Linked DNA regions of Arabidopsis thaliana. The protein of the gene in region 1 interacts with the protein of each later gene in a biochemical or structural test. Each region holds a gene or a part of one and is shown in the gene's direction. Other genes may lie near its edges.

Evidence for each region. The genes of interacting proteins can lie anywhere in the genome.
Region 2: the proteins of FKF1 (region 1) and CDF3 form a complex in vitro, tested with the Arabidopsis thaliana proteins (one study listed by BioGRID).
Region 3: the proteins of FKF1 (region 1) and CDF2 form a complex in vitro, tested with the Arabidopsis thaliana proteins (one study listed by BioGRID).

The regions. Positions count from the first base shown.
Region 1 is NC_003070.9:25,506,720-25,511,408, forward strand, and holds FKF1 (flavin-binding, kelch repeat, f box 1), read left to right. Parts: upstream 1-1,919; 5' UTR 1,920-2,017; coding exon 2,018-2,289; intron 2,290-2,390; coding exon 2,391-3,978; 3' UTR 3,979-4,188; downstream 4,189-4,689. Other genes in the region: MAP70-1 (microtubule-associated proteins 70-1), read right to left, coding at 4,673-4,689. UniProt on the Arabidopsis thaliana protein: Component of an E3 ubiquitin ligase complex that plays a central role in blue light-dependent circadian cycles.
Region 2 is NC_003074.8:17,503,379-17,507,738, reverse strand, and holds CDF3 (cycling DOF factor 3), read left to right. Parts: upstream 1-1,614; 5' UTR 1,615-1,774; coding exon 1,775-1,915; intron 1,916-2,257; coding exon 2,258-3,463; 3' UTR 3,464-3,856; downstream 3,857-4,360. UniProt on the Arabidopsis thaliana protein: Transcription factor that binds specifically to a 5'-AA[AG]G-3' consensus core sequence. Regulates a photoperiodic flowering response. Transcriptional repressor of 'CONSTANS' expression.
Region 3 is NC_003076.8:15,877,031-15,882,041, forward strand, and holds CDF2 (cycling DOF factor 2), read left to right. Parts: upstream 1-1,695; 5' UTR 1,696-1,889; coding exon 1,890-2,123; intron 2,124-2,542; coding exon 2,543-3,682; 3' UTR 3,683-3,749; exon of another isoform or gene 3,750-4,051; 3' UTR 4,052-4,507; downstream 4,508-5,011. UniProt on the Arabidopsis thaliana protein: Transcription factor that binds specifically to a 5'-AA[AG]G-3' consensus core sequence. Regulates a photoperiodic flowering response. Transcriptional repressor of 'CONSTANS' expression.

The DNA.
Region 1 (4,689 bases):
TAGTTTTTGTTTTGGTAAAAGAAGTCATATTTTAGCTGTGAAATTACAAATATATTTTTGTGATAACATTATAAATATATATTAACATGTGGAACCCTAATTCTCATTAAACTGCTCACGTTAAAGCACATGCAGTACACCAACCATTTAAATTGTTTTGCTTAGCACGATTTTGTTTCATTCATGATTCAAAACTTCAATTTTTCTTCGTCTGTTTTTATATAAATATTCGAAACATTTATAGAATTTTTTTGTTTTTAATTTGTAATTTGGATGTGGTCAAAAATCATACTTGGATCTATATTGATGTTATACATTTCACGACTTCAAAAGAAACTATTGCTCGCTCTATTTCTGTCATTAATTAACTCATAACTTAACTTACACAAAAATTGAGATGATGACAATCATGAAACTATTTAAAAAGAAAAAGACCAGACCGGCCAATGTTAGACTAGGATTAGTGGCTATTATTCTAGTGACAGGGGTGCGATGAGTACCATTGTTTTTGAACATGTCTCTTTGTCTTCGCGATGAACCAAGCGGTCCCAAAAGTATTGGCAATAGATAGAGCCTCAATACCTTTAATTAATTATAAATTTCCCTGAATTTATATTCTCCAAAAATGAATGTTATTTTTTTCATCAATCAAAAAAAGTTGTTGGGTTTTAGTCCACCAAAAAGATGTTTGAGTTTCGATTGTTTGTGTTCAAAAAATCAAATTACATAACAAAAGCCAGAACTTTTTTTTATATCAAAAAGTAAAGAAAAAATAAGAAAAACAAAAAATCATAACTTTTTTTATTGAGGTGATAAGGAATGTAATTTATTGACGTCTTGTGAACCCGATATAAATCTAAAACTTGAAGTAGCTAATGAAACATAACAGGAAATGTTGGAGTGGTATAGAAATTACCTTTAATTTACCTTTAATTGTATAGAAATTAAAGATAAAATAAAAAGATAAATCTATGAAACAATTATTTTGTCTATATACCAAAAGGGTTAGTTTTCTTGTGTTTAGTTTTTTGGAATGGAAATATATTATTTAAATTGGAATATTTTTTTGGTTGAACACAATTGGAATATGTAAAGGTTGATTTCATGTACTTGAAAGATTATGGTCAGAAGCCTTCTCACACGGTTAAGAAAAATAAAAAAAATATGTTGTCTATTTATTTGGTTCAAATTAAGTTTTTGTGTGGGCTTTGTGGGCTAGCTATTTAGTATGGGCCTAGATCTGGACTTCTGTAAATCTTAGGACTACACTTAACTCTATTACTCTCATAGTATGCCACTATGTGGGGTCTATGGCCACTATTGCTATCAATTATTACATATTTACATTACTTACGTACATTTTCGTATTTCTAATGTAATTTTTTTGTTTAGAAACTTATATAAGTGGGAAGTTTTAGAGCTAAATCTGAATTTTCTCAACTGGGGAGAAAAACTCCCTTGTCTCATCATCCCATTCCACTCACCACGAAAACTCAATTTGTTACATTAACATTATGTGTAACCTTTTCGAGAATCGCGTTTCACAAAAATATCTATTATTTGACCAGAGTCAACGGTTACGTGAATCTGATTCCAATTGCGTTCCAACTTCCAAGTTCCAACACTTCACAAACAAAAACAAATATCTTCCCTCAAATCTCAATCTTCAAAAAAAAAACAAATATCTTTCACAAAATATGATGACGTGGAAGAAGCGAGTGGTTGAGTAGGCTAGATATTTTCTCGGAATATCCCCTGGTGACGTGTTACAATCGAACAAGAGTAGACTTACTTTTTTTAAACATACCCCTGATATATCCTTTTAATTACGAAAATTGCCACCAACTCCTGGCGCGAAGACTTCTTGCCTCGTCTTAAATATAAAGGGTATATTCGTCAATAAGTCACCAACTAAGCCAAGATATTTTAAAAGTTTAAACAGACACAAAAAGAAATAAAATATCATAAGGCTGAGAGCTTATCAGAGAAGAAGAAGATATTTCTGTAAGCGAGAAAAATGGCGAGAGAACATGCGATCGGAGAAGCCACCGGAAAACGAAAGAAACGCGGCAGAGTTGAAGAAGCAGAAGAATACTGTAACGATGGAATCGAAGAACAAGTAGAGGATGAGAAGCTTCCGTTAGAGGTTGGGATGTTCTATTACCCAATGACTCCGCCTTCGTTCATTGTTTCCGATGCTCTGGAGCCAGATTTTCCTTTGATCTATGTCAACAGAGTCTTCGAAGTCTTCACTGGCTATCGTGCCGATGAAGTTCTTGGTCGTAACTGGTATATTAATTTCTCCGATTTCCCCCTTTTTGAATTGGAGTGTGTTGTTATCAATTCTCTTGAATAATGCTGCATTTGTGGTTGAATCTGCTTGGTTTCAGTCGATTCCTACAGTACAGAGATCCTCGAGCTCAAAGGCGTCACCCATTGGTTGATCCTGTGGTTGTATCTGAGATTAGGAGATGTCTTGAAGAAGGTATTGAATTCCAAGGAGAGCTTCTTAATTTCAGAAAAGATGGTACTCCTTTGGTTAACAGACTACGGCTTGCTCCAATACGTGACGATGATGGAACCATTACACACGTAATTGGGATACAGGTCTTCTCTGAAACGACTATAGACCTTGACCGTGTCTCGTATCCTGTGTTCAAACATAAACAACAGCTTGATCAAACATCTGAGTGCTTGTTTCCAAGTGGAAGCCCGAGGTTTAAGGAGCATCATGAAGATTTCTGTGGGATATTGCAGCTATCTGATGAAGTTTTGGCTCATAACATCTTATCTCGGTTAACTCCAAGGGACGTTGCTTCAATTGGTTCTGCTTGCAGGAGGTTGAGGCAGTTGACGAAGAACGAGAGTGTGAGGAAGATGGTATGTCAGAATGCGTGGGGAAAAGAGATAACTGGAACACTGGAGATTATGACTAAGAAGCTAAGATGGGGTCGGTTAGCTAGAGAGCTCACCACTCTTGAAGCTGTGTGTTGGCGTAAATTTACTGTTGGAGGGATTGTACAACCTTCCCGCTGCAATTTCAGCGCGTGTGCTGTTGGGAACCGGCTTGTGCTATTTGGTGGGGAAGGGGTTAACATGCAGCCATTGGATGATACTTTTGTTCTCAATCTTGATGCAGAGTGTCCTGAGTGGCAGCGTGTGAGGGTGACGTCGTCGCCTCCAGGACGTTGGGGACACACACTCTCGTGTCTCAACGGGTCGTGGTTGGTAGTCTTTGGAGGGTGTGGAAGACAAGGATTGCTTAATGATGTATTTGTGCTTGATCTAGACGCTAAGCATCCCACATGGAAGGAAGTAGCAGGAGGAACTCCTCCATTGCCAAGATCTTGGCACAGCTCGTGCACCATTGAGGGCTCTAAACTGGTTGTCTCAGGTGGCTGCACAGACGCTGGAGTGCTTCTCAGCGACACCTTCTTGTTGGATCTGACAACAGATAAACCGACATGGAAAGAGATCCCGACATCATGGGCTCCTCCTTCTAGACTTGGGCATTCTTTATCGGTCTTTGGTCGGACTAAAATCCTAATGTTTGGCGGGCTTGCAAATAGTGGTCATCTAAAGCTAAGGTCAGGGGAGGCATACACTATAGACTTGGAGGATGAAGAACCAAGATGGAGAGAGCTTGAGTGTAGCGCATTCCCAGGCGTGGTTGTACCGCCTCCAAGACTAGACCATGTGGCTGTGAGCATGCCGTGTGGTAGGGTCATCATCTTTGGAGGGTCGATTGCAGGGCTTCACTCTCCTTCGCAACTGTTTCTAATAGATCCTGCAGAAGAGAAACCGTCATGGAGGATCCTGAATGTCCCCGGGAAACCGCCTAAGTTAGCTTGGGGACATAGCACATGCGTTGTTGGAGGAACTAGAGTATTGGTCCTTGGTGGTCACACTGGTGAGGAATGGATACTCAATGAATTACATGAACTCTGCTTGGCTAGCCGGCAAGACTCGGATCTGTAAAGACTCTTTCCTTCTTCATTTGGTTTGTGGTTTTGTATCTGTCACATTCCAAACTCTTACGACATGTAGAAGAGATATATCAGAAGCTAGAAGCGTGTGTACATAGTAAATTAGTGATTGTTGTACGCTTTAGATAGATATTCATGTAATGTTAATGGTTTTGCTGTATGAAGATCCTTCTATAATATACTTCTCCTTGTTACTCGACCATGCAGGATTTGATTTTTGACGTACCATCCAAAAGAGAGAAGACACTGAGTTTGGACATATATATATATATCCACAAACCCAAAAGTAGAAATAATCACACAACACCTCAAGTAAATAGAATGAAGAAACCGAAAAAGTAAAGTACACAAACTTCAATACAGAGCTAAAACCTATACAGCCAAACAAACTACTTCCATAGGACAGAAAATGTTATGCGAAAATGTCAAACATCTCTCCCTCCACCCTTTTTTCTTGTCGTCATCGCTAAGCAGTGTAAGCCGATCTAAGTCAGAAAGCATACTTATCTTTTTCATCCTTAAGTTCTATGGTAATTCAATAAATCACAGAGGATGTAAAGGAAAGCAAGAGAAATAAAAAAGAGATATAAAGGTTAAAAAGAGCTTAAAAATCACACCAGCCTATAACGGTTTTACTTGTTTAAACTGATACGACCACAAGAACTAGTCACATCTCCTCCCTCATCTCATTGTGTACTCCTTG
Region 2 (4,360 bases), on another chromosome or scaffold:
CTTTTTGTTCACAGCCAATTATCTATTGACATGACATTAAAATCCAACCTCCTTTGCTTTTTTTTTTTTTTGCTCTTATTCTGATCTTAAATCTCTTTATCTTTTTTTTTTCTTTACGTCCATAAATTCTTTAGAACAAAACCATAAAACACAAGTTTAATGGTAAGAATAAAGGAACAAAATCACCAAATGAAAGCAAAAAAGAAAATCAAACGAAATAGATATCAGACTATTAAGAAAGAGAGACCATGGCATTATTACTATATCAATATGAAAGAGTTTTAGTTACTATTGGGCCAAACCAAAAAAATGTTTGAACACTAAAATAAGAGACAACAAACTAAGAAAATAGTCAAAGAGATTATTCTCTTCTTACTAAAGAAGGATGAAAACATCATCTAGTTCACAGCAATATCTGGAATGGAGGGTTGCCTAAACCTCCACTCCATTGAATGTGCATAAACTACTTTCAGATATGCAGTTTTGTAGTCATCCAAGAGATCAAGTTTTTTGAAGACATAGTATTGGCCAAGTTTTATAATCTACACAACAGCTATTACGAACTCACCCTTATCACCATACTCAACAACTTTTTCGGATCGACTAGTATCATTACTAAATTTGATTTGGGGTTGCTTTATCCAGTTAGAAAAAACTGATATCCAATTCCAACGAGGTCTAATATCTATTCTATAGAAAATCAAACTGTCCTATGGTATAGCAAAATGTTTAGTTGTATAGAATCTAATCTAAAGAAATAAATTATACAAAACGGTAATGTTATAAATTAGGAAAACATCTACATAGTCAAATCCTAATTATTACATAGATTGTGTTTTTTTTTTTCATATCGATTGTGATGTTATTTTGCATAAAAGTTATATGACAATAAAAACTTTTAGTATGAAATTTTTTACCTAAAAATTGGTAGACGAATGACCGAGAGATTGCCAAAGATTATAGTTAACATTTAAAATGAATACAAATACCATGTAATGATGTAAAAAAAAGTATTAAGTAATTTTGAAGTGTCATGATGCTTACAGTGAAATTTGTTTTACAATCAGTGCCAAATTTTACAACTATAAGTAAAGTTGAACGAAAATCCTAGAATCTATCAAATTTGAGCACTATTATTATAGTTTGCACTCGATGATTTACAAAATTCTTTGAATCCATGGTACATCCAACAATTATCCTCTATTACAGTTTTTAATGAAGAGAAAAATATGTAGAGATGATTTATAAAGCAAAAAAAATCAGTACATTAATAACCAATATAATATGTTGCTTCATTTTTAAACGCCAATTATAAAAAACAAATAAACAAATTTTCACAATAAAAATTAACTTCTTTTCTGATAGGAAACTAAAAAAAACTGATACTTTTAAGTTTATGATTAATATTATATATATATATATATATATAGTTTTGAATGATCGAATAAATATGTGCGACAGAAAATAAAGGAACAAAAAAAAAGGATTAGATGCGAATAATACACATAAAAAGGTAGGAAATATTAATGATTAATTAATAAAACCCGACAACCCGACCCGGTATTAATGAGCGAAAAGGAAAATATCAGAGGCCACATAAACTTGTGGCTGAGAATTGAATTGTGATGCTGACGTGTTTCCTCCTTCTCTTTTAAACTGATCTTCTAAATCCCTAAATTTCACCAATTCACACTCTCCCAAATCTCTCTTCTTTAACAACAAAAAAAAAAATCACAGAGACATAGAGAGAAGAAGAAACAGAGGCTCCAAAAAAATGATGATGGAGACTAGAGATCCAGCTATTAAGCTTTTCGGTATGAAAATCCCTTTTCCGTCGGTTTTTGAATCGGCAGTTACGGTGGAGGATGACGAAGAAGATGACTGGAGCGGCGGAGATGACAAATCACCAGAGAAGGTACTGATTGATAAAAAGTAATTTTGGCCTGAAAATTGGAATTGTCCTAAAAATAAATATGATTAGATTAGTTTTGTACTAGTAATTAACTTAACTAGTTACTTCTTCAGTCTCTGTTTTGTCTGTTTTGGATCTACAATTTGTGTTATTGAGTTACATGAACGAAATTATAACATAGTTCCAGTCTTGTGTTACCATTAAGATATTACTAGTTCATTTAGTTGTTAGAGATTATTGGTTCTGAACTTCTGATGAAGAATAATTGTTTGATTAAGATTTCATAAAGAGAAACTTCTTTTATTCATTGCAAGTGTTCTTAATTTAGTGTTTCTTGTATCTCAGGTAACTCCAGAGTTATCAGATAAGAACAACAACAACTGTAACGACAACAGTTTTAACAATTCGAAACCCGAAACCTTGGACAAAGAGGAAGCGACATCAACTGATCAGATAGAGAGTAGTGACACGCCTGAGGATAATCAGCAGACGACACCTGATGGTAAAACCCTAAAGAAACCGACTAAGATTCTACCGTGTCCGAGATGCAAAAGCATGGAGACCAAGTTCTGTTATTACAACAACTACAACATAAACCAGCCTCGTCATTTCTGCAAGGCTTGTCAGAGATATTGGACTGCTGGAGGGACTATGAGGAATGTTCCTGTGGGGGCAGGACGTCGTAAGAACAAAAGCTCATCTTCTCATTACCGTCACATCACTATTTCCGAGGCTCTTGAGGCTGCGAGGCTTGACCCGGGCTTACAGGCAAACACAAGGGTCTTGAGTTTTGGTCTCGAAGCTCAGCAGCAGCACGTTGCTGCTCCCATGACACCTGTGATGAAGCTACAAGAAGATCAAAAGGTCTCAAACGGTGCTAGGAACAGGTTTCACGGGTTAGCGGATCAACGGCTTGTAGCTCGGGTAGAGAATGGAGATGATTGCTCAAGCGGATCCTCTGTGACCACCTCTAACAATCACTCAGTGGATGAATCAAGAGCACAAAGCGGCAGTGTTGTTGAAGCACAAATGAACAACAACAACAACAATAACATGAATGGTTATGCTTGCATCCCAGGTGTTCCATGGCCTTACACGTGGAATCCAGCGATGCCTCCACCAGGTTTTTACCCGCCTCCAGGGTATCCAATGCCGTTTTACCCTTACTGGACCATCCCAATGCTACCACCGCATCAATCCTCATCGCCTATAAGCCAAAAGTGTTCAAATACAAACTCTCCGACTCTCGGAAAGCATCCGAGAGATGAAGGATCATCGAAAAAGGACAACGAGACAGAGCGAAAACAGAAGGCCGGGTGCGTTCTGGTCCCGAAAACGTTGAGAATAGATGATCCTAACGAAGCAGCAAAGAGCTCGATATGGACAACATTGGGAATCAAGAACGAGGCGATGTGCAAAGCCGGTGGTATGTTCAAAGGGTTTGATCATAAGACAAAGATGTATAACAACGACAAAGCTGAGAACTCCCCTGTTCTTTCTGCTAACCCTGCTGCTCTATCAAGATCACACAATTTCCATGAACAGATTTAGAGTTACATATGTATATGTATATATGTATGATTGATTGTATGTATAGATGATACTGGAGAATGATGAGTTTTTGAGAATCAAACTCTTTTCTTCTTTCTAGTGATTGCCTTTATTCCTTTACATGTTTTGGTTCTCTGTACACTATTTGATTTACCTTTTTTACTTTCTTTCTTCATTTGTCAGGAAATGTTGGAAGATAACATTAATGGTAAAAAGTTGGTGTGGACCGTTGTTGCGTTGGCATTTCAACCGACACTCTTCTGACTCTTCTTTTGCAACTTCTTTGTCTTGTGAAGAACAAATTTTTTGTAATCTAATTACTTTGTCTTGTTCAGTACCAATTTATATCGGGATCAAAGGGAATAATAATAAATTTCCAAGTGTTTTTAGCTATTTCCAAAGTTTTTAACATATATATATATATATATATATGCTTAGTTATTAAAATTGTTCTGTTATTTATAGTTTGGTTTATTTAATAATTTGTTTATAAAAACTCATTTGATATTTTCAATATATTATAGTTTGAAATAGCAATACACTTCAAAATCTCTTAAGCATACTGTGTAAATATCGAATCCAATAACATTTTCTTTATATTTTTGTGAAATGGGACCATCCAATTTTAATTTAAGGGATTAATATATTTGTCGAAAATTTTTCGAAATAATCATTATAAGATAATTTAACATGCTTGCTCATCTACTTATTCCCAAATTAATATTTTTTAATTTTTATAAATTTTTATCCATAAAATCTGGATAAAATTAGAAAACATAAAACAAAAATATTAGACGATAGAAACGGTTTAACAAAACCATGTTAGTTTATTGAATATTAACCGTTTTTATCGTCTAATAAAAGAACAAATGGATTGTTACTTGAAAATAAAAATAG
Region 3 (5,011 bases), on another chromosome or scaffold:
TCATTCAAGTTCTTTTTTTTTTTTTTTTACAATATAGTTCATTCAAGTTCTTTTTTTTTTTTTTTTTACAATATAGTTCATTCAAGTTCTTTTTTTTTTTTTTTTTTACAATATAGTTCATTCAAGTTCTAATTCGAGAATGTTCAAGTCATGTGATATATCAACGAGACTTGTTTTTATACGAAAAATGCTAATTTTAATAAAACAAAACTCAAATAACGTTTCTTTAGTTCGGGGAAACAGTCGAAAAATGATAAAATATGTTTCCTAAGAATCTTTATCAGTCGTGCCTCCAAGTGGGGATAATATAATAAATGTAATGAAAAAACTTTATTATATAGTATATATTTGTGATTTGGGGTGGTCTGAAATAAAGGTACTATATACTTATCCACATAATTGCACTTTTTCAATGTTAGACTTGGCGTTCAATTACTTCTTATCCACAATATTGCACTTTTTCCAAATCGACTTGGCGTTCATTAGTAACCACAACTTCTAACATCGACTTATTACAGCCACGTATCTCTGATATGTTGAAGATTTTATGACAAGAATATAGGCAAAAAAGAGGAAAGAAACTGAAGATCCACTATATAGTAAATACTTGTAGCTTCATTTAAAAAAAAGAAAGTGATTTCAATGTTAATTTATTTTTCCTACAAGTACCAAGCTAAAACTGTAACTAAATGACTATTATTATCAGCGTAAAAAAACACATACTCCTTTTGTTTTTTTTTTTTGATTTTCTAGAAAAAAATTGTTTCAAAAAGATTGATTTTTTGGTTTTCAATGCAATATTTATTTAGTTATAATTGATAAATTGTAAACTTCAATAAGAATTATTGAATATCATTGGTTTAGAGTTATTGAAAATTATAAATTACAAAGAATAATACATTTAAAAGCAACATTTAATATGTTTTCTTAATATTTGTGTTTTTCCTAAAAAATCAAAGAAAAAAGAACACAAGGAGTATCAATCTGTAAAATGGATTTGTTTGAAGACAAAGATTGGTTTTTTTGGGGATAAAATACTATATTTTTTTAGTATTTTAATTTTTTGTTGGATCTTCTTAGTTCTTTAAAAATGAGAAAATTAATGTTTATATCATGTAATTTGTTTCTTTCATAAATATGTTTTTTTTTTCTTTCTCTCCAAATCTAATCATGATATTGTTTTCCATGGATATGGCTATTATAGAAAGCTAGGAATTAAAAAGTGTTTCAAGGTTTTAAATATGTTTTTTGTTTGTTACTCTAAAGTTTGTTTTTTCTTCTGAAATTTCATTTATAAACAGTAATTTTTTAATAAATGTGTGGGTAACAAAAAATTTATTGACATAGTTAGAATTAGAAAACATGTAAATTAGAAGTTAAATGGCCTTTAATCAACCATTTTTACATTAATTTAAAAAAATTCAGACTTTTAAAATAAAAAAGTTAAAAATGAAAAGAAAAGTAAAAGTAAAAAAAAGTGCTGACCACTGACCAGATTGAAAAGGAAAATAAAAAGAAAGCCAAAAAGAGACGAAAAAGAGAAAAAAAAAAGTCCACAAAAACAAAAATAAACTTGTGGCTAAGAATCCTCACGTGTGATGACGTGGCACTCTGGGCGAATCAAAAGGTTGTACAATTCGAAAGATCACAAACCCAAAAAGCAAAATCTGTAAATCTTTTTTCTTTCTCTCTCGCAAAGACAAAAAAGCATTCCCAATTAACAAATCTAGAAATCAAAACTCAGACAACCACCGATAACAAGACAGTCGTTTCTCTCTCTCTTTTAAACAAATAAAAATTGGAACTTTTTTCCTCTGTCTTCTCAAAAAGTTTCCGCTTTTTGCTCGCTGGAGAAGAAAGAAAGAAAGAAGTGAAAAGGAATCATTACCATGGCTGATCCGGCGATTAAGCTCTTTGGAAAGACGATTCCTTTACCTGAGCTTGGTGTTGTTGATTCTTCTTCTAGCTATACCGGATTTTTAACCGAAACTCAGATTCCTGTTCGGTTATCAGATTCGTGTACCGGCGATGATGATGATGAAGAGATGGGTGATTCCGGTTTAGGACGAGAAGAAGGTGATGATGTTGGTGATGGTGGAGGAGAGAGCGAGACTGATAAAAAGGTTAGTTTTTTTTGGAACTTGTGAATTGATTTTGATTTGTTAAATGGAAATGATTGATGGGTTTATGTTAGATTGGTCAAATCTTAGTTTTATTGATAAAGTTATGATTTTTGGTTTGTTTATGTAAGAACTAGGTTTTCAGAGCTTTTGGGGATTCGAAAATTGTAAATCTGGATTCTCAAATGAGTTTTTTTTTTTCCTTTTGTTATAAAGTGATTTGAGATCTTAATTAGTTCCATTTGGTTTTGATTGATGGTTATAGGTTTTGATATTGATTTGCTTAAGAACTTTTCAGGGTTTTAGCTTCTCTGTGATTGGAATCAAGTCTTTGATCCCTGTAGCTTCTAGCTTCTGTTTGTTGTTTGTTTGATTAGGATACATAACAACGATCTGACTCTGGTTCTTATGTTATTCTTCAGGAAGAAAAAGATAGTGAGTGTCAGGAAGAGTCATTGAGGAATGAATCTAATGATGTTACTACTACTACATCGGGTATAACTGAAAAAACGGAAACAACAAAAGCTGCAAAGACGAATGAAGAGTCAGGTGGTACTGCTTGCTCTCAAGAGGGGAAGTTAAAGAAACCTGATAAGATTCTACCGTGTCCGCGATGTAACAGCATGGAAACCAAGTTCTGTTACTACAACAACTATAATGTTAACCAACCTCGCCATTTCTGCAAGAAATGTCAGAGATATTGGACAGCTGGTGGAACGATGAGGAATGTTCCGGTTGGTGCTGGGAGACGTAAGAATAAGAGTCCAGCTTCTCATTATAACCGTCATGTAAGTATAACATCTGCGGAAGCTATGCAGAAGGTGGCGAGAACTGATCTTCAACATCCTAATGGTGCAAATCTTCTCACTTTTGGCTCTGATTCTGTGCTTTGTGAATCTATGGCTTCTGGATTGAATCTTGTTGAGAAGTCATTGTTGAAGACACAAACTGTATTGCAAGAACCCAATGAAGGCTTGAAGATTACGGTTCCGTTAAACCAGACAAACGAAGAAGCTGGAACAGTCAGCCCGTTACCAAAAGTTCCATGCTTTCCAGGACCACCACCAACTTGGCCTTACGCTTGGAACGGAGTTTCGTGGACGATTTTACCGTTTTACCCTCCACCGGCTTACTGGAGCTGCCCGGGGGTTTCACCGGGGGCATGGAACAGCTTCACATGGATGCCACAACCCAATTCACCATCTGGTTCCAATCCAAATTCTCCTACACTAGGTAAACATTCACGTGACGAGAACGCTGCTGAACCAGGAACCGCTTTTGATGAAACCGAGTCACTTGGTAGGGAGAAAAGCAAACCCGAGAGATGCTTGTGGGTTCCCAAGACGCTGAGGATTGATGATCCAGAGGAAGCTGCTAAAAGTTCCATCTGGGAAACATTAGGGATCAAAAAAGACGAAAATGCGGATACTTTCGGAGCTTTCAGATCATCAACCAAAGAAAAAAGCAGTCTTTCTGAAGGAAGACTTCCGGGAAGAAGACCGGAGTTGCAAGCGAATCCTGCTGCTCTTTCTAGGTCAGCAAACTTCCATGAGAGCTCATAGAAAGAAGAAGAATCTAAGCAGCTGATTTGATTGTTTTTGGGTTCAGTCTTGTGTTCCAAGAAAGCAGGTGAGTCCTTTTGTACATATAGCTATATATACACACACATGTTTGTGTATATATATATAATGGTTGACATAGTGAGGGATAAGTAGTTTTTGGATTGCAGAGTGAAAGTTTGTTGTATCATAAATGAAAAAACCTCAAAACTGTAGTTAAATAAATGTATCTTGCATGAATAACTTATTTTCCCTATCATGACATTGTATGTTCACAGACAAATTCAAACAAGTTTAAAGGAACGTTTATAGTTATCCACATGATGTATGATTCTCAGAATCTTGAGAGTGATCTAACTTATTGGACTTCAGTAGTAGTGGCAGCAACAAGCTTGTTTTCGGCATCCGCGGAGGAGCGAACCACTGTCTTCAACTTCTTAGATGACCGCGATGTCAAGTGTTTACCATGGTAAATCAGGTTTGCTTTAGTAGATGTGTAGTCATTCTTATAACCAGTCCAAAAATCACCCAACAAAGACATGAACCAAGTCTCGAAAAAGCAAGCCGCGATCACCAATACTGCGAAAATAACGCAAACACAGCTTCTTCACTGCAAGCAAATGGTCATGGTTGATGCATGAATGGAGAGTCTATTGACAACATACATAAGCAAAAGCAATGTGGTAGATGCATGAAGAGAAGATATTGCAAGCTGCCAACTACGGTTCGATATTTGTATAATCTAGGATTAAAAATATTAAAGAAACCACACTAAATGGATTGACAAAGTCAGCTATATCAGAAGATTTATCGTCTATTGACCAAAACAACCAATGAAAGAACATTTTGATACTATATTAAGAGATAAGTAGTAAATTAATATAGAAGAAGTTTGTGAAAAACGCCAAAAGAAAAAGAAAGCCACTACCTTGTTTGTTCAGTTGCAATTTCCAGGAAATTTAGTAAGGAAATTAGTTGCAATTGTGACATTAAATTCGTGTTAGTCTTTTTCATGACTAGAACAATAAGAGTACTATTGAATTAGTCATCGTTTAATTGATTTCTTACGTTTGGTCAAACAAGTCACGGATTATGGTGAGAAAACGATTACTTAATTGTGGAAATTAGCTATAAGAAATTTTCCTTTGCTTTTTATGTTTTTCTTAGTCTACTTGTTTGTCTCGCTGCCTTACTCTTGCAAAATTTATACGAAATTTCGTCTGAATATTTTACATAAAGTAAAGTAAGTATTCATATGAAATTTGTATCAAAATTTGTCAAGACTAGTAAGAATGAACTGAACCACACAATACAACAATTCAAACCATGACC